Lytechinus pictus: one gene and its partners. The protein of the gene in region 1 binds, or shares a complex with, the protein of each later gene. Links are inferred from orthologs where the notes say so. Each region holds a gene or a part of one and is shown on either strand. Other genes may lie near its edges.

What was found.
Region 2: CCR4-NOT transcription complex subunit 10-like (region 1) and CCR4-NOT transcription complex subunit 9 share a complex: the UniProt entries of both Homo sapiens proteins name them as parts of the CCR4-NOT complex. The link is inferred for Lytechinus pictus from reciprocal best matches to the Homo sapiens genes CNOT10 and CNOT9.
Region 3: CCR4-NOT transcription complex subunit 10-like (region 1) and CCR4-NOT transcription complex subunit 2-like share a complex: the UniProt entries of both Homo sapiens proteins name them as parts of the CCR4-NOT complex. The link is inferred for Lytechinus pictus from reciprocal best matches to the Homo sapiens genes CNOT10 and CNOT2.

Annotation. Positions count from the first base shown.
Region 1 is NC_087246.1:48,079,029-48,086,789, forward strand, and holds the start of CCR4-NOT transcription complex subunit 10-like, read right to left. Parts: upstream 3,039-7,761; 5' UTR 2,905-3,038; exon of another isoform or gene 2,475-2,904; intron 1-2,474. UniProt on the Homo sapiens protein: Component of the CCR4-NOT complex which is one of the major cellular mRNA deadenylases and is linked to various cellular processes including bulk mRNA degradation, miRNA-mediated repression, translational repression during translational initiation and general transcription regulation.
Region 2 is NC_087257.1:20,916,168-20,923,828, forward strand, and holds the start of CCR4-NOT transcription complex subunit 9, read right to left. Parts: upstream 3,073-7,661; 5' UTR 3,029-3,072; exon of another isoform or gene 2,649-3,028; 5' UTR 2,471-2,648; coding exon 2,447-2,470; intron 1-2,446. UniProt on the Homo sapiens protein: Component of the CCR4-NOT complex which is one of the major cellular mRNA deadenylases and is linked to various cellular processes including bulk mRNA degradation, miRNA-mediated repression, translational repression during translational initiation and general transcription regulation.
Region 3 is NC_087263.1:5,245,374-5,252,693, reverse strand, and holds the start of CCR4-NOT transcription complex subunit 2-like, read left to right. Parts: upstream 1-4,297; 5' UTR 4,298-4,328; coding exon 4,329-4,347; intron 4,348-7,320. UniProt on the Homo sapiens protein: Component of the CCR4-NOT complex which is one of the major cellular mRNA deadenylases and is linked to various cellular processes including bulk mRNA degradation, miRNA-mediated repression, translational repression during translational initiation and general transcription regulation.

The DNA of each region.
Region 1 (7,761 bases):
AATAAAACATGTTACATGATCTTTAAAAGTAGGAATTGCAGAATACAAGATAGTGAAATAAATATAAAACTTAATGATGTATTAATAAAGAGAGAAACTAGTACTAAATTTCTTGGCGTAATCATAGACGAAAACCTGAATTGGAAGGAACATGTAAATCACATTGCTTTAAAGGAGAATGAAACCCTTGAAACCAGCTGAATCCATATCAAAGAGAAAAATCCTAGAAACATATTGTTGAAAGTTTGAGGAAGATTGAATGAATAATAAGAAAGTTATTAGCATTTTAATGTCAAGATCACTAATGCCATGTAGATCCTCCCATTGGCAATGCGACCAAGATCTGTGATGTCACACACGTACAACTCCCTCATTACTTTAGTGCTTATTTCACTTATATTCTCACTTTTATAGAGTCTATCACAAGGTGAGGTGTTCTCTTTATGAGAGGACAAGTACAGAGGTTTCACAACATTATATCATTGATGAATCATTTGTCATATGATTAGAATGAGCAAAAAGAGATGTTTTGGGGTATATTTTCAGTGTCCAAAAGGGGAGAGTTGTTCATCTGTGACATCATAGATCTTGGTCGCATTGCCAATGGGAGGATCTCCATAGCATTAGTGATCTCGACATTCAAATGCTCATAACTCTTCTATTGCTAGTCCTATTTTACTCAAACTTTTGTTGATCTTATTCTTTGATTTTTCTGCTTTCACAAAAGCTAACTTGCTCCAAGAGTTTCATTCTCGTTTAAAGATATCAAGATCCATAGGAGTTTTTAATAGTTTGAAACACATTTTACCATTGAGAATTTTAATTAAATTATACAATTGCTTGATTTCATCACATCTCATGTTTTCGAATATTGTATGGGGCAGCTGTTCATCTCATTCATTACAGAAATTATTTTTATTACAGAAACGTGCAATAAGGGTTATTTCTAATGCCAATTATTTAGCACATACTCAACCTTTATTTAAGAAATTGAAAATACTGAATATTTATGATATAAATAAATTACAACTAGCATCTTTTATGTTTTCTTACTCTAAACAATTGCTCCCAAAATATTTTAATGAATACTTTGAATATAACATCAACATAAATAAATATTGCACAAGAAATGCCAATAAAATGTATGTACCTTGATTTACCTTGACAGGCCAATGGCCTTTTGTTTATCCCCCACATCCTCCTCCCTTCAACTTTACCATATCTTTTATGTTATGTATAATGTATGTTGTATTTTGTATTGATTTGTAAACTTGATCTTTTGATGTTTTTAAAGAGATGTGAATAAAATTGAATTGAATTGAATCCCGCACTCATGACATTTGTGCACTAATGTAATAAGATTAGGCACTGTGTCTGTGCGCTAGTCTGTTACTGCATTAATTTATTTAAGGCTAGCATAGACCAAAAGCTCAGGTCTCTGATATTGGTTGTTCCGCTGAACTCCGTTGGCTCCACTCACCGATTACAGAGACCGAAATTCTAACAGGATCTGTACAGGGACTCAATGGCCATATGTTTATGTATTAAGTTCGGATAAACCAGGGAAGTGGGAGTTGCCCGACAGCCAAAGTAAGTCACTGTTTTTTCCCCGTTTTGGAGCATTTCAGGCCAAAACGAAATAATAATCTTTATTTTGGTCCAATTCTTTTTATATATTTTTCTGAAATAAAGAGAAGAATCGATGAGCCCTGTCTGGGGAATTTTGCACTATGGCGGCTGCACTATCACTAACCTGGAGCCCAGAGGCAGAAGCTCACCGTGTATTTACCCATACTCACGGGACTAGGGTAGATTGTGGTCAAAATATCTAGCAAAATAAATTGTGAAAACAGAAATTATGCACTTACCACAATTATATGGATGAAGGTCTATCGTGTGGCAGTATCCTGACATCGAGGCACAGACTGGAATCTCAAAAAAACGAAAAGTTCTGTCACGATAGCTCTCCTTCTTTCAAAAATCAAAACAAAATAGCCGATCGAGACCGAGGCTATAGCACTAGCGCATATAGACTTGGTCAAATTCGCGCATGCGCCCTACACCCTCGGTACCGGTCTCGATCGGCCATTTTGCTATGAATTCTGAAAGAATAGCTACCGCGACAAACTTTTCGTTTTTTTCGAGGTTCCAGTCTGTGCCTCGATGTCAGGATACTGCCACACGATAGACCTTCATCATCCATATAATCGTGGTAAGTGCATAATTTCTGTTTTCTCAATTTATTTTGCTAGATATTTTTACCACAATCTACCCTAGTCACGTGAGTATGGGCAAATACACAGTGAGCTTCTGGGCTCCGGCCCGCTTTGCGGGCCTGAGCCGTCTGTGTACAAGGAGAATTTTTTTTTTTAATGTTAAAAAAACTCCTCGAAACAGACAGCTGCCAGCTATAAATAAGGCTAGCGCTGCTGTACGAAGTGAACGGTGGTTCCCAATATTATGATAATGCCCACCTTTTTTTGCAACAATCAAAGAACTTCTGACATTATCCTGGATCTGGACCTGGTTTAAGTCATCACTCCATTCACTGCCGTTTATTTCAATTTTCATCAGCGGCGGCGGCGACTCCTTTCCTCTCCCATTACAATTACAAATACAAGCGCACACACACGAGAAGAGAGGTGACTTATTTCAGAATAAGGTCGAACTTCTGGCATTGCCGAACTTCTTTCAGAAAAGTTTAGTTAAGCCGTAACTTTAAATAACATTCAATATCAATGATTCATTTCATCATCACGTTGACTGAAAATTTACTACAGTCCCATCCGTTCGTATTCGTGCTATTCATCTAAGAGTTGATACCTCTAACTACAACTTATAAAATTATTCTAACAAACTCAATAAAGATGATTTCCACACCTTACTTCTCTTATTCAGGCTTACCTTTATGCAAATTTTACATAAAAATTATGAAATTCCAAATAGTTTTTATATATTATTCTCAATCTTTGTCCAGACTCCGGTCTCCGCTTTTCAGTCTTCAGATCACTCGCTAGCTCGGCCTTTCTCATTGATTTACGTACGACGAACGCGCACAATTGCAAATGCACACGTTTTTGGTTTTTGCTTGCATCACGCACAGTTATATGTTCATGTTTCGAGGTTCCCGCGTTATGTTCGTACCGCACCCATTCATTGATTTTTTTTTCTACAATTTGTAGGTGTTAGACTGTTAAAGGCTTGCGGGAGGTTTGTTTTTTAAAATGTATTCTGCAGAAAATTCTAACTCACAATTGCGTTTTGTTCAAAATTCATATCGAAATATATTATGTAGACCCTAAGTTAATTAACTTTTTGGTAGTTGGGGGGGGGGGGGGGCGGGGGCGTACGTGGTGCCGTGGTGACCCCACCCCTCCCCCATCCCATTGAAATATTAATATTATTCTTGGATAAAATAAATATTTTTTTTAAATATATTTGTTGAATATCTGACTGATTTTAATCTTTGCAACATGATCGAGCTTTGGAATAGAGTCGATCGTGTCATGCTGTCATTTTTTTTTGGGGGGGGGTCAAAGTTTCATAAACAGGCGTACGAATCTATCTATTTCTATCTAACAGTACTTACGAATCTATCTATTTGGACATAAATGCATTTAGAAATCAAAGCAATAATAATGATCAACGATCGAGTTAAAAATGTTTAAATCCATGGCTTGAATAAAAATGTGATTAAAATAACAGGCTTTTAACACCACAGTCAATCCATTAAGTTGGAAAATAAATTTTGACATGCTGAGCGACAGATATAGGCATAATAAAATGTAATTCACATATTAATCAAAATGTCTAAATATCTGCTTTGAAAGTTTTATTCATGAAATGTAAATGGAATCTTAACTTCATAAAAATGGATCCATCCCCCCCCCTCATTTTTCTTTTAGGCTTAATAACTTGAAGAGCATAAGAAATACATTTTTTTAGAATTGGGCATACGCCCCTCCTAGGTTGAGGAATGTAAACAGTTTTGCCATTCCTAAGTTAACAGAAGCTGACTGTTTGGTCGGTCAAATTTTAACAAACAGTGTCCATGCAAAATTTGAACCTATATAAGATCTTCATGTGAATATTATTTTAAAAAATGCATTAGACTTTTTTCTTTCGGGGAAATATATAGACTGGTTAAAGAGGCATCGATTGAGTAACTTTATTCAAATAAGAGTGAATTGCTCCACGACGGATAGGCCTTTAATAGGAATTAAATCTTGACAGACAAGAAAATATAGATTTTCAATTATTTCATCCTTTAACTTATCCTGTTGAAAAAAAATAAACATAAAATGAAACTCATATAAACACTGAAAACGGCATCAGATTAAAGAACACTATACAAAGTTGACTAATATTTGAAGATCTGAATCATGTTTTGCATTAAGACGTTGGTGGCGTACTTCATAATTGTCCACTTTTCATTCAAGATAAACTGCGATCGAGCAGGCATGTTATTTAGAACCAATGCGATATAAAAAGGGGAAAGGGACAAACTACTGCAAAGATCATTAGTCAAAAATCAATAATTGAGTTGGGGTACTGGCTGACCGCACTGATGGGGGGTGGGAATCTTAAGGTCCTTACCCCCCCCCCCCCCTCTCCCTCTTGTAGGAAATCCGAATGCTTTGTTAAACCGATCGTAAAATCAACATAAATTTCCATCATATTTCATAATATAGGCGAAAAAGAATTTTGCTCAAATTGAATTAATAATATTATTTATTTTTATGGCCATACACAGGATTTTTTCGAAAGGGGCGGATTAATACATTCAATTTTCAAATCTTCTGGAATACATACAAGCAAGCAAGCGAAACGACCAAGCTCATTAGGAGAGCGATTTGGGTGTGTGTGTGTTTTGAAATTAAAAATAAGGAACCTCGTGCGCATGCACTTATTAGCCGGTGGATTTTTTTTTGAAAATCTAAATGAATAGGTTTAGACAATTTCCGAGTACTAGAGCCCTGTAATTAAAAATAAGGAAATCAGTAAATGGGGGGGGGGTCATCTTCTAACAACGAAAAATAGGGATTCTTTTATATCCAAAATGATCCATGAAATATCTTGGACTGTGAATCGATTGGGCCATCCAACTACATCCAACTATACATAGGCATAAAAAGGGGAGGGTGCTCCTAACCTGGGTACGGGGGGGGGGGGGGGGGTTGGGAGGTAGAACAACACTTTTTATCTTTTTTTTCCCTCTCTTATCATTCATACATCTTGTTAATATTTCATTTTGTAATTGCTGAAACGCATTAGTATTAATTTCTAGTATCTTTGAAGTGTGATGTATAATTTGTATAATTATATTTGTTATGGATTATTGTGTAATTTATAATCATGTTTCAAATAGTTTGTACAACTTGCTTATGGAATGTGAATGTTTATTTTGATTTAAGAGAATACAATAAAACATCATTATAAAAAAATCTACCCTTCAAATGGTTTTGCTTCGAATATGATTATCAAGTGTATTTTGTTAGCAAGAAAGGGGTTATATCAAGACATAATGGGCAGTAGGCTTATTTACCAAAAAAAAGAAAACATATTTTACAGGGGGCTTTGATAAATGCAACTCAATGTTGAAAATTATATAAATGAAATGATACATATAGCTGTCAAACCTTCAAGCAAAAAAAGCATTCAAGCCTGAAGTCATCAACTTTTTAATTTTCAACCCACCGACTCACATCAATAGATCGATGTGAATTTTCCTCACTTGGCGAATTTTATATATCACCCTTAATATACCTACTTACAGTGTCCTTTTCTCGGTTTTATCGAGCGGGAGAGGTATTAATAGCAACATCGATGCTAATTATAACTCAGTTTTTGGATTGACTAAGTAAGCTTGCCGAGACAGAACAAGAGATGATGGCTTCCATTATTGTAATTACGTGCTTCAGAAATGACAATTATGACAGGTTGTAAGGAAAGAGAGACGAAGAAAGAGGAAGGAGAAAAGAAGAAAAAGTGAATGGCTTTTGTGGTATAGTGGTGATGACAAGTGTATGGAGCAGTGGATTATGAGCGGACAAAAATGAGGGGACAAAACATCACGTTCGATGCCTATTTCAAAATAGTCGCGAGTGGACAAAGCAAGCGACACTAAAAAAAATGAATGTTCAAAATTAAAATTCATTTGTTCAAAAATACATTCCTAAACATGATTATTTCATCATTTTTTCAATTTTCTCTTGTATTCCTTTCTTTTTTTCTCTCTCCCACTCTCTCCCCGAGAGCATAATTATAAAGATTAAGTTGCAAATTGAGCGCACACTAATCTTCATCTGATATGAAAGCATTAGTATCTAAAAATACTTTTCAAAAATTGTATTTTTTTCATTGTAATATGTAATGAAATGAATAATTCTTTTAAACAATTTAAATTTATATTCTCTAAGAATAATATCGTGAATATTGTAAAGAATGAATCAACGATTTTTAAAAAAATATGCAAATGTGTGTATTGATATTTTTTGGGTATCCATATGAACTCATTAATTCTTATCTTAAAATAGGATCCGTATTTTGGTTCATTTTCAATCAAGATTAGGCCTGATTAATCACCAATCAATTCAATTAAAGGCGAGTATTGTTCGATGCCGGTATAGTATGATAGTCACTGGCGTAGATATGGGTGATGGATTTGGGGCAATAACTTCTCCCCTTAAAAAAAAAAAAAAAGAAGAATTAAAATAAATAAAGGAATAAATAAATAATTGAATATATGAATAAGTAAATAAATAAGTAAATGAATATATAAATTAATAGATTAATTAATCAATCAATTAATAATGAATGAATGAATAGAAAAGAGGGGAAAACATAAAAGGAAAAGTAAATGAAAGGTAAAGGGGGTAAGGATGTGTTATTTTCTGAATGACATATCTAAATCTATCACAAAATTAGACTCTCATTCTAAAAAGGAAAAATGCTTGCTCACTTCGCTCGCTCTCGACTTTTAAGAATTGTTTGCACGCACGGCATGTTGCATGAAGTGCATCAAAGGTGTGTCCCCTCAATTTTTGTTTTGGCTCATTTCACAACTAAAGATATTAACTCTCATAGCAAATTACTAAGCAGAAAAAAAAATTCAATCATAATGATTATAAGTGTGTGTGCAACATCATTCGCATTCCCGGGGCGCGGGGGACACATGCCCCCCCCCCCTCCCATCGACAGACACAAAAAACGAGGGAAAAGGGGAAAAGAGGGAGAAAGAAAGAGAAACATAGAGGGGGAATGTAATACAAGACGTTTCCCCCCATAATTTGATGAAACATAATTTGCTTAGGGTCTATGTTTTTATCACTCCTGGCGCTCGCATTGAATGTATAATTGGATACATAATCTCGTTCAAGATGGCACTAAAAATATTGCTTTTTCAAGTTAATCAGGGGCGGTGGAACCAACGGCAGGGGGGCACTCCCCCCCCCCCCCCCTCAAAAAAAATCCCCGTTGGAAAAATATGCCTTTTTTTCTAAATGGAAAATGCCCTTTTTCAAAATGAAATGTGCCCTTTTTCAAAATGAATTACCCTTTTTGAAGTAAAACATTATACATTTTAGGTTAGAAAATCACAACATTTTTGGCTTGCGCTTCGCGCTCGCATCAATTATTGTTTAGTAAGGTACTCATTCTGTTCCTGGTTCCAAAAAAAAAATGCTTAGGATGTTTAGTTTTCACTTTTCAGGTTGGAATATCACAAACTTTCAGATCGCGCTTCGAGCCCGCTTTATTCGA
Region 2 (7,661 bases), on another chromosome or scaffold:
TCGATATTGATATTTATTGAATAGATGCTACCCAAGAACTATAGCTATTTATCACATTCCCCGGTATTAAGGTAAGGGAGAAAAATAATTATTACGATTGTTTAATTAAATTGTAGGAATGTGAAAAATTGCAACATCAGCGCAACAAGAGTTAACAAAAACATGGTGCAATATAAATGCTGTGGATCATCATTTAAGAGGTGTTAAAAATTGGGAGGCATGATGGATCCCTTATGAGCTTGGATGCTGCCCTTGCCAAAAATTAGCAGAGATTTGTTCTTATATACTAATACTGCATAAAGTATATACATTTTCTAATTTCAATATCAATTATTAGGCATGTTCATATAAAAATATTTGCATATCAAACACCACACCCATCATCATTATCAGTAGAGGCGCTGGTCCAAAAATTGGGATTGTCCCAGAAAGCAAGAATATCCTCATAAACCAAGACAAATCATGTCTTGATAAATTGAGATTGTCTTTGTTTATAAGGACAGTTTTTTTGTCACTTACCCATGCGGGACATAGACGGTAATGACAGGAATGGAAAGTGCTAGAATTAGATTCAGTGCCCTCAATTCCCCCCAGTTTACTGTCTATTTTTCACAACTAACCGTCTTCCAGTAATCTTGTTACCTGATATGTTTACATTGACTAGCGCACTTGATTGGGGTTGGCACTTGATTGGGGTTGGCACTTGACAGGTGAATGAATTTTCTTGTGAGGAGAAACAACAAGGAACAAGGTTATATCCATCATAACCTTGTTCCACTCATTCAATGAACAAGGTTATGATATAACCTTGTTCTCAGTTATGTCTCCATGTGTGGCAAAATAAGGGTGGCAATGTTTGGCTTATTTTCTTTGGGACAAATGCTTGATTTTTTTACACTGACAGTTTCCATAACACCTATTTGTCATACAATTTGGCCCTTAAGTAAATTTGATTCTTTAAATTATTTTTTTCTTAATTAGAAATAGAGATAAAAAATGAAAATTTTCTTGCCATATTACTTTCCACCAATAGAGGGCGTACACAAAAATATGCCCAAAATTCAAGTTTTTGAGCGCTCTAGTGAATACAAAAATTATTTCCAAGTTACTAATGAAAAATAAATTGCAACTGTATGGAAATTAGTAATTTTGGTCACAAAAGTGATATTTTAATGATTTTTGAAAGTGTGTGGTCTGTACAGCATTGGCATGCCATAGTCCTTCCTGTAGATTCCCCACAGGCAGGGTGGTTGCAGTGAACAAGTGCCTTGTTCATTGAATGAGTGCATGGACTCAACGGCCGTATGTTTATGTATTAAGTTCGGATAAACCAGGGAGTGGGAGTTGCATGACAGCCGAAGTAAGTAATACTATGGTCACATTTGTTCTACGGCGGCCGTACGGCGAGTCGAATACAGCCGTTTTATTAAATTTGATTCAAACCACCTATATGTAGTTTGACAAAAAAATGTTAAAACGGCTGTTTTCAACTCGCCGTACGGCCGCCGTAGAACAAATGTGACCATGGTATCACTGTTTGATTTTTTTCCTTTTTAGTTTATTTTTTCCCATTTTGGTGCTTTTCAGGCCAAAACGACATAATAATCTTTATTTTGGTCCATTTCTTTTTATATATTTTTATGAAATAAAAGACAAAAATCGAGGAGTCCCTTCGAGGGGATTTTGCATTGTTAATCCCCTAATAATGGCGGCTGCACGATCGCGAGCCGTTTGTGTACGAGAATTTTTTTTTTTTTAATGTTAAAAACTCCTCGTCCTCGAGATGGCTGCCAGCTGTCTAAGACTAATGGAACTCTTGCCAATTTTTTTTTGGGGGGCTGTCTTTGTAAACTTCTATCTTAAATATAGTTTTTATCATGAAAAATTAGCTTGGGCTTGGCCTTGGCACAATTCAAATGAATGTATGTTTTTCTTCAAGTTCATCATGCTTTGTTTTTAACTTATTTTTGTTTTATTTTTAACTTCACTCATCAGACATTCAGCATGTCGTTTTTGGCCTAATCGTGAAATTTGTCACCTCTCTTGTCGTGTGCGTCGGTGTGTGTGCGATCGTTGTGTACAAAGTCAATGGGAGTGGAAAGATGTCACCACTAACGTTAGTCACCACCGCTGACGAAATAAACGGCAATGAATGGACTGGTGACATAAACCACGATAATGCCTCGTTTTTTTACTTTGTTTTACACAACGCTCAATTAAGAGATTAATCTTCAATCAATCAGATACAAAATTATCTTATGAAAGCATTGACCATCGTTCGCTAGAAACTAATATGACCCCTACATAATTTTCAGTAGGTGGGACCGAGGCCGAACAGTTTTGTTGGTATTTGAAATGTGTGAAGATCCTTCCCGAAAATTGGGCACTTTTATACATTCTACAACAAAGAAAAATAATCTAAATTGATCTTAAATAGTAATCTTACCGGTTGCATCCCAAGACCATGCATTATACAAGGTATTATCGAAAGTTCAGATGAAAATTGGACGTCTCCCCACTCCTATTTCACTGCTGGCTAGCGACCGACGGATTTCCATTCTTATCCGTTCTCTGATTGGTCAGTTAAGACAGTGCGGTGTCTGTGTGTTCCGTGTACTGTACTGTGTGTATGTGTGATGCGAAGCGTGCTGTGCATGTGTCATAGAGATATATACTAACATGCCGGTCAATTGACCATATATGTTTCAGTGTATAATAAAAATGGAAACATGCTGGTCAACATGCTATTGTAAATATATTGCATTATTTCGAGCATATTGTACACCGTTGTATACTGCACATTTGTGGTGCAGATATAAAAAGAGCAGTTTAAGGAAACTTGTGGTAGCCTATAACGATGCTATGAGAATGCTTCTTCAATTACCTAGGCACTCTAGTGCTAGTAGAATGTTTGCTGACGCTAATGTACCTTCATGTCAAGCCGTTCTTAGAAACCTAACTTTTAAGTTTATTGAGAGAATTGACATTTCTGAAAATGCTATTGTAAATATATTGGTTAACCCCTTACAGAGCTGTACGAGGTACACCTCGGAACTGTGGAAGCGTTGGTATGACAATTTGTTAGCAGAGTCATAAGTAACCCAGAGAGCTCCCGTCCGCGCAGCGGGCGGGAGCCCAGAAGCTCACAGTGTATTCTACCATTGCCACCGGACAAGGGTGATTTATGGTCTAAATATTTCTCCAAATGAATTGTGAAAACAAAAAGTGTACAATTACCACGATTATATGGATGAAGGTCTAGCGAGTGGCAGATTCCTGACATCTGAGCACAGTCTGGAACCTCAAAAAAACGAAAAGTTCTCTGCTTCTACCCCGTCTCGATCGGCCATTTTTGTTAAAAATCGTAACAAAACGGCCGATCGAGACTGGGTAGAAGGAGAGAACTTTTGGTTTTTTTGAGGTTCCAGACTGTGCTCAGATGTCAGGAATCTGCCACTCGCTAGACCTTCATCCATATAATCGTGGTAATTGTACACTTTTTGTTTTCACAATTCATTTGGAGAAATATTTAGACCATAAATCACCCTTGTTCGGTGGCAATGGTAGAATACACTGTGAGCTTCTGGGCTCCCGCCCGCTGCGCGGGCGGGAGCTCTCTGGGTTAAGTCATAAGTAATTAGTGGTCTACTAATATTAGTCTGTATCTTTGTCTTTTTCGAGACAAGTTACTCATTTTGCCATATGTAAATATTTCCATTGTACTGTTGTACTATTCACTTACTGCTTAACCACTTGTTTTAGGTATTCATTGTTTGTTCCTAGTTATTAGTGTGATTTGTTTTACTCCTTTTTGACTGTTTATACTTTATTTGTTCTTTGTTTATTCCAGTATTATCTTTGTATGTTTGTCTTGATGTATATTACATGTATGTTATTTGTTGATATGGACCTCTGCATATGCGGCTGTGTCTGGATTAAAGCCTTGAATTGAATTGAATTGAATTGAATTGAATTGGCTATATGTGTTTCAGTGTATAATGAAAATGGAAACATGCCGGTCAATTGGCTATGTGTTTCAGTGTATAATGAAAATGGAAACATGCCGGTCAATGACTATATGTTTCAGTGTATAATGAAAATGGAAACATGCCGGTCAATTGGCTATATGTTTCAGTGTATAATGAAAATGGAAACATGCCGGTCAATTGGCTATGTGTTTCAGTGTATAATGAAAATGGAAACACATTACGTCTTACCCCCGTTTGGGAACGGACCGCAGTTCGGATTGCAAACTGCGGTATTTCACCCCATTTTGCGTTTGAAAATCTAAAACATCATTTCCAAGCCCTGGGGGTCGTTTCATAAAGCTGTTCGTAAGTTAAGAGCGACTTTAACAACGACTGGTGATCATCGCCAATTGTACCATTTACCGCAAGACATGATCACCAGTCGCTCTTAACTTACGAACAGCTTTATGAAACACCCGCCTGATCAACCCCGCTTGGCCAGGTAATCCCCAAAGGCCAGATTATGAGCGTTGAGCCAAGGACGAAATGATAACAACAGATGTGCTATTACGTAAGTCTTCTCTGCCTGTAGAAGGACCTTCGGAATTAAATTATTGTATTCGATATTTAATCACGTTTTCAAAGGCATACTGTATTCAGAAATTCAATGCTAGCCCATTTTCAATTTCGAACAAAGAAAATCAACCTCGAAATAAGGAAAGTAAGTGAATAAAAAATGGCGACATGTTTTCCCGGACCGCACTCGGGCTGTTGTGTTATCTTCGGACCGAGGTCAAGAAACAGGTGTTTTGATACTTACATTGCATGCCTGGGGCAGTAGGGTTTTCGTACTTGGAGAAGAGGGGTATCCCAGGACCAAAATCCAATTGAAACCAGTTGGATTTCCAACTGGTTTCAATTGGTTTCAATTGGTTTTAACTGGTTTCAATTGGTTTTAACTGGAATTTAACAATTTCCAGTTGAAACCAATTGAAACCAGTTGGGCAACTGGAAATCCTAACTGGAACCAGTTGGGTAACTGGAAATGACTTCCAATTGGAAATGATTTCTAACTGGAACCAGTTGAGTAACTGGAAATCCCAACTGGAACCAGTTGGGCAACTGGAAATCCTAACTGGAACCAGTTGGGTAACTGGAAATCCTAACTTGAACCATGCAGTTGTGTAACTGGAAATCCTAACTGGTACCAATTGGGTAACTGGAGATGACTTCTAACTGGAAAGATGGGTAACTGGAAATGAATTCTAATTGGAACCAGTTGGGTAACTGGAAATAAAACTGGAACCAGTTGGGTAACTGGAAATGATTTCCAATTGGTTTCCAATTGGAAATTTTCCAGTTACCCAACTGGATCCAATTGAAACCAGTTAATTTGCATATTATCTGCCAGTGTGCACAGATTAATGTTTTATGAGATTCATCATCATTAACAATGTATCTATTTAATTCTTTTCAATTTCAAGTGCCACACTTTTTAAAGATAAGTATTTAGAATACTTAGCAGTGAAAACCATGTTCATAAATGTTATAGATTATAATTAAAACAGATTAAAGGATAATTAGTACCCCACTAACTGTTACCAAATTACATCAAATAAAAATACATATATTTGAAGATCTTCCGTACAATATATACATGTGAAAGTCTGTATTTTATCAATGCCCTTTACATTGGTATTAATAGACATATAATACTGCTTCTGTGTTGGCATATGAGCAATAGTTAGTGCAAATGCTAATTAATTTGTAACTAATCAAGTTCATTCCAATTAGTTCCAATTGGATCCAGTTGGAAACCAATTGGTTTCAACTGGTTCCAGTTGAAACCAGTTGCCTCCAATTGGTTTCAACTGGAACCAATTGAAACCAGTTGCCTCCAATTGGATTCAATTGGTTTTAATAGGGAAATTGGAACAACTGGAACCAATTGACACCAATTGCCAACTGGTTCCAGTTGCCCAATTGGTTTTAACTGGAACCAATTGGCAACTGGTTTTCAATTGGAACCAATTGGCAACTGGTTTTCAATTGGAACCAGTTGTTCCAATTTCCCTATTGAAACCAGTTGGCCAACTGGTTTCAATTGGTTTTGCCCTAATTGGTTTTAACTGGATTTTGGTCCTGGGTAGTGTTATCAAACGGAGCTCTTTCGTCATGACATGCCGGTCAATTGACCGGCATGTTTCCATTTTCATTTTACTGGTCAATTGACCGGCATGTTTCCATTTTCATTATATACATTGAAATATATGGTCAATTGACCGGCATGTTGCCATTTTTATTATACACTGAAACATATATGGTCAATTGACCGGCATGTTTCCATTTTCATTAAACACTAGAACATATGGTAAACTGACCGGCATGTTTCCATTTTCATATTATACTGATCAATAATGACCGGCAAGTTTCCATTTTTTATAATACTGTCCATTGACTGGCATGTTTCCATTTTTTATAATACTGCATGTCCATTGACTGGCATGTTTCCATTCATTACAGTGGACATTGTATAATGTAATGAAACGCAAGTGAAGACTCTTTAATAATGGGAGAATTAATAGACTGAGGAAAAAATAAAAGACCTTTTCTAAAACAAACAAATCACACAATTGGAATGTAGCATTTATCATTATAATTTTAAGCTTGGAAAGAGAGTCAGTTAAATTAAGAGCTGTAAGAAACTTCTATCCTTCACATGCACACACAGCCAGTGAACACATGTACAGCACGCTTCGCATCACACATACACACACGGAATACATAGACACCGCACTGTCTTAACTGACCAATCAGAGAACGGCTTAGAATGGAAATCCGTCGGTCGCTAGCCAGCAGTCCTATTTCGGTCTCCTATTTCTGGCAACTCACTCAAGTCCCGGGAATTGATCGAGAGAGGGCGGTTTCACTTTCAATCGAGACTCGACGTCGCTCGACTGTGCACTTCGCCGCCTCAGACGTACAGGGAGCAGTGCCACTCCCGGGTACCACTCACTCATGATAATCAATTCAGGCCTAACAGTCATCACCAACATCATCATCATCACCATCATCATCACTATCATCATCACCATCATCACCATCATCATCATCACCATCATCATCACCACCACCACACTGATGATCTTTATTTATCATTATCTTCATTTCATCATCATGTGGAGGTGCCGCGGCCGAGTGGTCTAAGGGGCCTAGCTATACATGGAGAGCCCAGGGTTCGATCCCAGGCCGCAGCACGTTTGCTCATGAGCAAGGCATTTAATTGACAATGCTCTTCATCCTGCATTCAAATAAATGGAAATGCTTTAATAATGCATTATTTGCAACTAGGTGTGCACTTGTTTACAAATCATTATCATCATCAAAGCAGTATCACATATATGAACAGATCTTCCAATCAAGAGAAAACAATCATCTTTTCTCGCAAGAACTTTTCCCTTACATATATGTTCTTTACAACAATGGTGTATAGTACCTTAGTGACGATTCATCAAAAAGTTCTCATTATCATGATCACCATCACCACCACAACCATCTTCATCAGCAGCATCATCACCATCACAACCATCAGCATTCCCACTACCACCAATACCATCGCCGTTGCCATCATCATCACTTTGTTGCTTTCATCATTAATATCATCTTAATTTCATTGCCATCATCATCATCACT
Region 3 (7,320 bases), on another chromosome or scaffold:
ATGTATCACAGGGACATATATCACTGCAAAGCAATTGGGTTTAAAAGTAATGAAACCCAGTCAATGATATGGTTAACAAGGATATATATATATATATATATATATATCACTGCAAGTATATTGAGTATATAAGACCATATATTATATGAACGACCGGAAGTCTCGACAGGCTTGCCTTCTTCTTCCATACACTGATGATAATGATGATGATGATGATTAACAAGGATATATACCCGGGGATATATATCACTGCAAGTATGAGTATAAAAGTAATGAAAGCCAGTATATTATATGATTTCCGATGATATATATCACTGCAAATCAGACGAGTATAAAAACAATGAAAGCCAGTATATAATATGATACACAAGGATATCACTGCAATGAGTATGAAATTATACTCAATAAATTTATACATAATGAAACCCAGTGTATTATATGAATAAGTACATGATATCTGTATCACTGCAAATCAAATGAGTATAAAGGTAATGAAAGCCAGAAGGTAACTTGTGACCAGCCACTCAAAACCAACAATTAGTTGCCCCAAATCAATCTTGGGATTTCTTTTTAATTAGCTTGAAAGAACATATCCTAAACTTTAAAATGATAAATAATTTGTTAAAATTGATCAACAATGACCCTCACAAGTGCTTGTTTGAATACAAAAGAAGTTAAACTTGATCTTAAAGCAGCCGATTTAAAAAATTCTCTAACCAAGATGAAACATGTGTACAAGTGCATGTATTAGAACTAATAAACCCTGAAAACAACCATTATTGAGAATGAAAAGCTAAAACTACAAGGCAATTAACCCGATTTTGTAAATAGGCGTCTTATAGACGCCTAAATGGTACACATAAGTGTATGGGATGAAATTAAGATGGTGTTTTCGGTCACTTTATATTTCAATTTTTGAAGCACTAAATAATTATTTTCGAACGCAATTTTTTCTGGGCTTCATTTTTGTAACATATCACAGACACAGGTGACAAGTGTGACCTTCTAGCTCAGATTTTTAAAAAGTCAAACCAATGTGCATACTGTGAATTCTCGGTTAAAATTCCAAGCAGTACACAAAAGAGGTTAAAAAAAAGATCATGTATCTTGTTTTTTTTATATTCCACTTTACAACTTCGAATTTTGGTAGTAAAAAGAAGAAGAACTACCCTTTCAGATAAGCAAGTTTGCTAATTTTTTCTTTTGAAGACTAGATTACTATTTTGGCTATTTGATACAGAGCCTTCCCTGCAACTTGTTGGTCTTGGGGTGGCTGCTTACATATGGGGCAGGGATACATATCACTGTAAATCTAATGAGTATAAAAGTGATGAAAGCCAAAAAGCACTGCAGATGAATGGACTATGAAAGCATCTAAATGGGCCCTCTAACAGAAGCAGTAAAATCTTGAGTAGCATTTTTAGCATTTTGCTGGCGAATTATCAATGCATAAAATAACTTGTTATTTGTTGCAGTAAAACATGGCTACTTGGAAGCAACGTTGGGATGTCGGTCGTGTCGTGTGCGAAAGAAAGCGACCAAGTGCAGCATTTTGCTCATCTCTCGTCTGAAAATAACCCATTTCAAGTTCAAATTATGTTGGTTCTGCTACAAATTTGTTTTTAATGGAGAAGGAAACATGTGTTGTCTCAAGATACAAATTTTTTCTAGACCCCAGCCAACAATTTGTGATAAGTTATGCATAGAATATATTATTTATACATATAATATATACATATAATATATCATAGGTATCCTCTTCATACAACATGTGTGCACATGTGGATCTAAATATTTGCAGTTTTCAATATTGACTTGAAAATTGGTCAGAGAAGATTTTATCAGGAAGATATGGTCCAGGCGTGGATCCAGGGGGGGGGGCACGTGCCCCCCATTTGAGAAGAAAAATTAAAATTTGTAATGTAAAAATGCCATTGAAGCGGAGATGTGCCCCCCCCCCCCCCTTTTGAAAGTGAAGACCTTTTTTTTTTCTTTTTGCTTGTCAAATTTTTTCAGGTACAAAATATCCTTAATTTGTGGTTGAAAACCATTTTTTTTTTTTGGGGGGTGGGGGCTTGTCAAAATTTTCCTCCAAAAAATTTCCCCCCCCCCTTTTGGAAAATCCTGGATCCGCCCCTGATATGATCCCCTGCCCCCAGAGAATCATTGGTTTCTTATTTATCTTCATTATGGGCCTCTGACCCTACCCCACCGAGTTATGTTCATGATTGCCCAATACTAAATGAGATTGATAAAAATAGGATAAACTAAATTGTATTATTTGTAGAAGCGTTTATGATCCGGCATGGCAGCCAAGCATATTTTCTTCCCAAGATTTCATTCAAAATTGCACTGTGCTTTAATAAATAGTTTCCAAGCTGGAATTGTGACTTCTTTAAGATATTACCCTTCCCTTTTGAAATGAGACCCCTCCCTCTGTTTTTCTTTACTCCACCCCACATGAATCTTCCAAAAGTCGAGTGATTAGCTAAATAATTTGTATACTATCAGTACTTGACCCTTCTTGATAATGGAATTTGTTTATGAGAATTTGTCAGTCACTGATACTTTTTGTAAGTTGCAATTGATTATTATTTGTAAACAGGATTCCTGATCTTTCTATCAGCAAGTAATGTAAACATATACTGTCATTTTGTAAAACATATATACATGTATATACTGCATGTTTATTTGGAAAGTTCTGTAAGAAAAACATTGTTTTGGTATTTTATTGTTAATGTCAAACATATTTGTCTGTTTCATTTGTGGTATATGTATGTATTAGTTTCTTGCCAATCCTGTGCAGTTATATATTTGAGCACATAAAGTGATGTTCTAGACCTTAATTCTCTCACATTTTCTAACATTCATTTTAACTTAGAATGTTGTTTTATTATTTTTTTTCATCCATGTACCCCCGCATGTACCTCCCTTCGAAGTAAATTGATGCAGAAGTAAGAGTATTTTATTATTTTAGCAAAATGAAAGTATGGTTGCTTTGATAAATTTTTAATAGGAAAATATTAGAAGTCTTCTTTGATTTTTTTTAATTAAAAAAAATCAACATGTTATGACAAGCACAGCATGTGATATCTTTCTTATTTTTTGAATGAATTTGATATAACATCAATTTCCCAAAGTAGGGGTAAGTTTTATGATTATTTCACCTTTAGGTCCTTTTAATTTACTGATATTTTGAGTTTTACGTGAAATTATGAAATAATTTTTGCATCATTGGATAGCCTTCGACGTACTCTTTAATGTTTGAAATAAAAAACATTGTTAAATTACCCATAAGTCCTTTCTTGGAGGACACTGACGATAATTTCTGGGCATTGCTAAAAAGTTTTTGGGCTCTATCTTGATTATTATTTACATTCAAACATGCATTTAGGATATTCATCATATATTTTTCATTGAAATCTAGATATTTGAAGAGTTTCTCTGAGGTATTATTCAATTTGTATTGCAGAGAAAATAATAAAATTGTACTTATTTGGTATGAAATCACCTAGTGAAGTCTGTCATAATTATGTCCATAAATGATGTTATACTGATATTAATGATTGAAAAATGATGATATGAAATTTATTGACAAAGAAGGAGGAGGAGGAAGAAGAAAAAGATGATGGTGATGCTGTGATGATGAAGATGATTATTTTGATATTGATATCATTTTTATTGTGAAAATAATAAATGATGATGATGATGATAATTGTGATAATAATGATGATGATAATGATAATAAATAATGATAATAATAACAACAACAACAGTAATAATAATCTTAGTAATAATAACAATAAAGATTGTTTAAAGTCGGTGATCAACACAGCTCATAAACAAACAATTGAAATATCATTATTTGGAAAAACAAATTTAAAATATGATTGTAGGTCTACATTATTATCTGGGCCTGTTTTTTTTTTAAAGAATACCAGGGAAGCAAGAAATCATAATGATGATGATGATGATGATGGTGATGATGATGATGATGATGATGATGATGGTGATTATGATGATGATGGTGATGATGATGTGATAATGATGATGATGGTGATGATGAGGATGATGATGATGGTGATAATGATGATGATGGTGATGAAGATGATGATGGTGATAATGATGGTGATGATGATGTGCTAATGATGATGATGATGATGGTGGTGGTGATGATGATGATGATGTTAATGAGTATGATGAAATGATATATAAATTAAAAAACAATACGGAAACCGTCACGTATGTTGGCTTTTGTTTGGGCAAATCTCGCCACATGATGGCGCTAAACGCATTACAACTGGCAGCCATTATTACGTACAATATCAATGACAATCTTTAATCTCAGTAAGTTGAAGTTTAAAACGATATTTCTCAAACTTAGTGCTTTAGAATTCAGTGTTTGTGATATTTTATGATTCTAAGAATAATAATTTTATTGTTGAGCTCTCTTGTGTGTGATATTATTATTGGATGGGTTCGTTATTTTGTTCTGATTTTGATGTGTCGCGTAGGTTCTTTACAATGCAATTCTCTAAAATGTAGTCCCATACGTTGCAATTTGTGTGAGTAAAAAGTAAATGCGTACGTGCGTGCCTGTATTGAACTCTGTCTTTACAGATTAAATATCGATTTAAATGTTTCTAATCAACCTACAGATCTCAGGTAGATGTTATTTTTCAAAGTTGAATTCCATATGACTGGAAGTTGGGGCATTAGAGTTGTAGATCTGGATCCAAAATCAGCAATCACGTTGACTTATGAACGACTTGTTTGAATTTGAGTTGACTTTCGACTGCAATTTTAACTTTTTAAAGTTTGTCGGAGTTGTCAAATATTTATGGTTGGACGTACCCCTTATCGACCACCTAATTTTCTTCTAAGAATCTTAATCACAAAGATTTTAGACTCTAGATCTAATTGGTTTAAGCTAGTTTCCATCTCAAGTCATGTGCAGAAAATGGAGCGGATCAAAATTCCTTTTTTTTAGAAATAAAAAATAGATAGATTGCTTTGCTCTGACTGACAGTAGAGGTGCACGGCCAATATGGGAGACTCTCTCCCAATAGGGGAGACAATCTCCCACATTGGAGACTTGCTTTGCAAAAGGACAAAAGAAACAACACCAACAAAAGCATGATTTTTTCCACCCAAAATTTTGTCTCACTGAGGTCAGAAGCCCATTTGTTTTGTGTGTGATTGACAACAAAAATCCTTATCAAAACAAAAGTAGACGGTGAAAAGGGGTAATTTTTCATGAGGAATCTGCTTATCACATTTTTATTTGCCGCCAAGGTAATCCTTTTGCAGCAAATGTAAACAAAGGAAATTGGTCTCCAAAACTGGAGACTGTCTCTGAAATTGGATACCCAAATTCTTTACAAAAGTCTCTGATATTGGAGATAATCTCCCACATTGGAGACAGTCTCCAATATTGGCCGTGCGCCTCTACTGACTGAGATTCTATTCACGTAGCCGTCATGGCCGTAGATGTCAGTGACCAACGAACATGAAGATTTCAAATTTCCATCCTTCTTTAGGACTGACCAGCTGCTATACACTAATGTTAATTTTACAGCCGATTCTTGTCAGTTTGTCACGGTGGCAAAACATATTGACTTGCGAATCAGTTCGATGTCACCTTCTCCTTCCTCTGCTAGTCATGCTAGTCCTGGAGATCTACAGCTTTTTAAAATTTTATCCCTCTTTTTTTCCGTAAAATCGGTTTTTATCATTACTATGGATGCTGCGCCTAGTTTCCTGTGCGTAGCGTTTGTATGCAATTTAATCTAAATGCGCGCAAGTGCCAAAGGTGATCAGTTTCAAAAGAGGTGGTCGATGAGTGGTGGAATCACTGTACAGGTAGCCGTGGGGACCTTGCCGGTCGTCAAAATCACCGAGCACAAAATTTCATGGCTTTAAACCTGAGATCATAGAAAAACCAATGATTAGAATATATGAAAAATATGATGATTGGGCAGTCCTTCACGTTTATAAATTCATGGAGCCCAATAAATCGCTCTCCTTATTTTTTCGAGGAGCTCAGTTGAGCTCCTCAGAATCGCTCTCCTATAGGAGCTCAATTTAATACAATACATGCATGCTAAATTGCAGATTTTTTTTAAAATTGTAAATGCAATAGCTGTGTAGCTATTAATTAAACTGTGGTGAAACTAGGCCTGGGTTTACAAAATATCGCGCTCCTTAAAAAAAAAACCTAACAAAAAATTGCTGAAATTTCGGATTTTACATCTTTAAATCCATGAAATGGCCATCTGTTTTCCATAATTCCTTGAAATTATTTTGATTTAGTTGAAAGTGAAGAATATTCAGCTCTTTATTGACTCGGATTGACGATGTTACAATCGGTAAATATTGTAGTCCCACATGTAGACTTCCGTGGTGTTGCAACATTAAAGGACAAGTCCACCCAAACAAAAAGTTTATTTGAATGAAAAGAGAAAAATAGGTGGTGGTGGTGATTTTTTACCTGATTGCTAAGAAAGCATGAATGCTTGTAAGCCAACAAGTATAACACTGAAAATTTCATCAAAATCGGATTTAAAATAAGAAAGTTATGACATTTTAAAGTTTCGCTTAATTTCACAAAACAGTATATGCACATCCTGTTCGGTATGCAAATAAGGAGACTGATGACGTCATCCACTCACTATTTCTTTTGTATTTTATTATATGAAAATCTAATTTTCTTCTCATTGTCAAGTAAAACAACAATTAATTCCTCCCTAAACATGTGGAATTAGCATTGTTTAATATTATATGATTCAGTCAAGTTGGTCCTTATTGTCAAATCTGTAAAAAATGAAATATTGTATAATTCTAACAATAACAAACAAAAGAAATAGTGAGTGAGGGACATCATCGACTGTCTCATTTGCTTGTCACTGAGTTGTGCATAATTAACATTTTTCTGAGGTGGACTTGACCTTTAACTGAAAACGATCGTTGATTGTTATACACTTGGTCAAAACCATGAAAATCTACACATGGGACTACAATATTTACCGAGTTTAACATCATAAATCAGAGTCAGGAAAGAGGTGAATATTCTTCATTTTTTGGGTAATTTCCAACTAAATCAAAATAATTTTAAGGAATTATGGAAAATAGAATCTATGCCTATTTTATGAATATAAAGATGTAAAATGTGAAATTTCAGCAACCTTTTTTTTTTTTAAGGAGCGCGATATTTTGTTCTCCTTATTTTATTTAGGAGCGCCGGCGCGATTGCGCTCCTAAAAAAATGAAGGTCTGATTGGGATTCCTTTTGCCTAAACAGACTGACCCCAAAATCGTTCA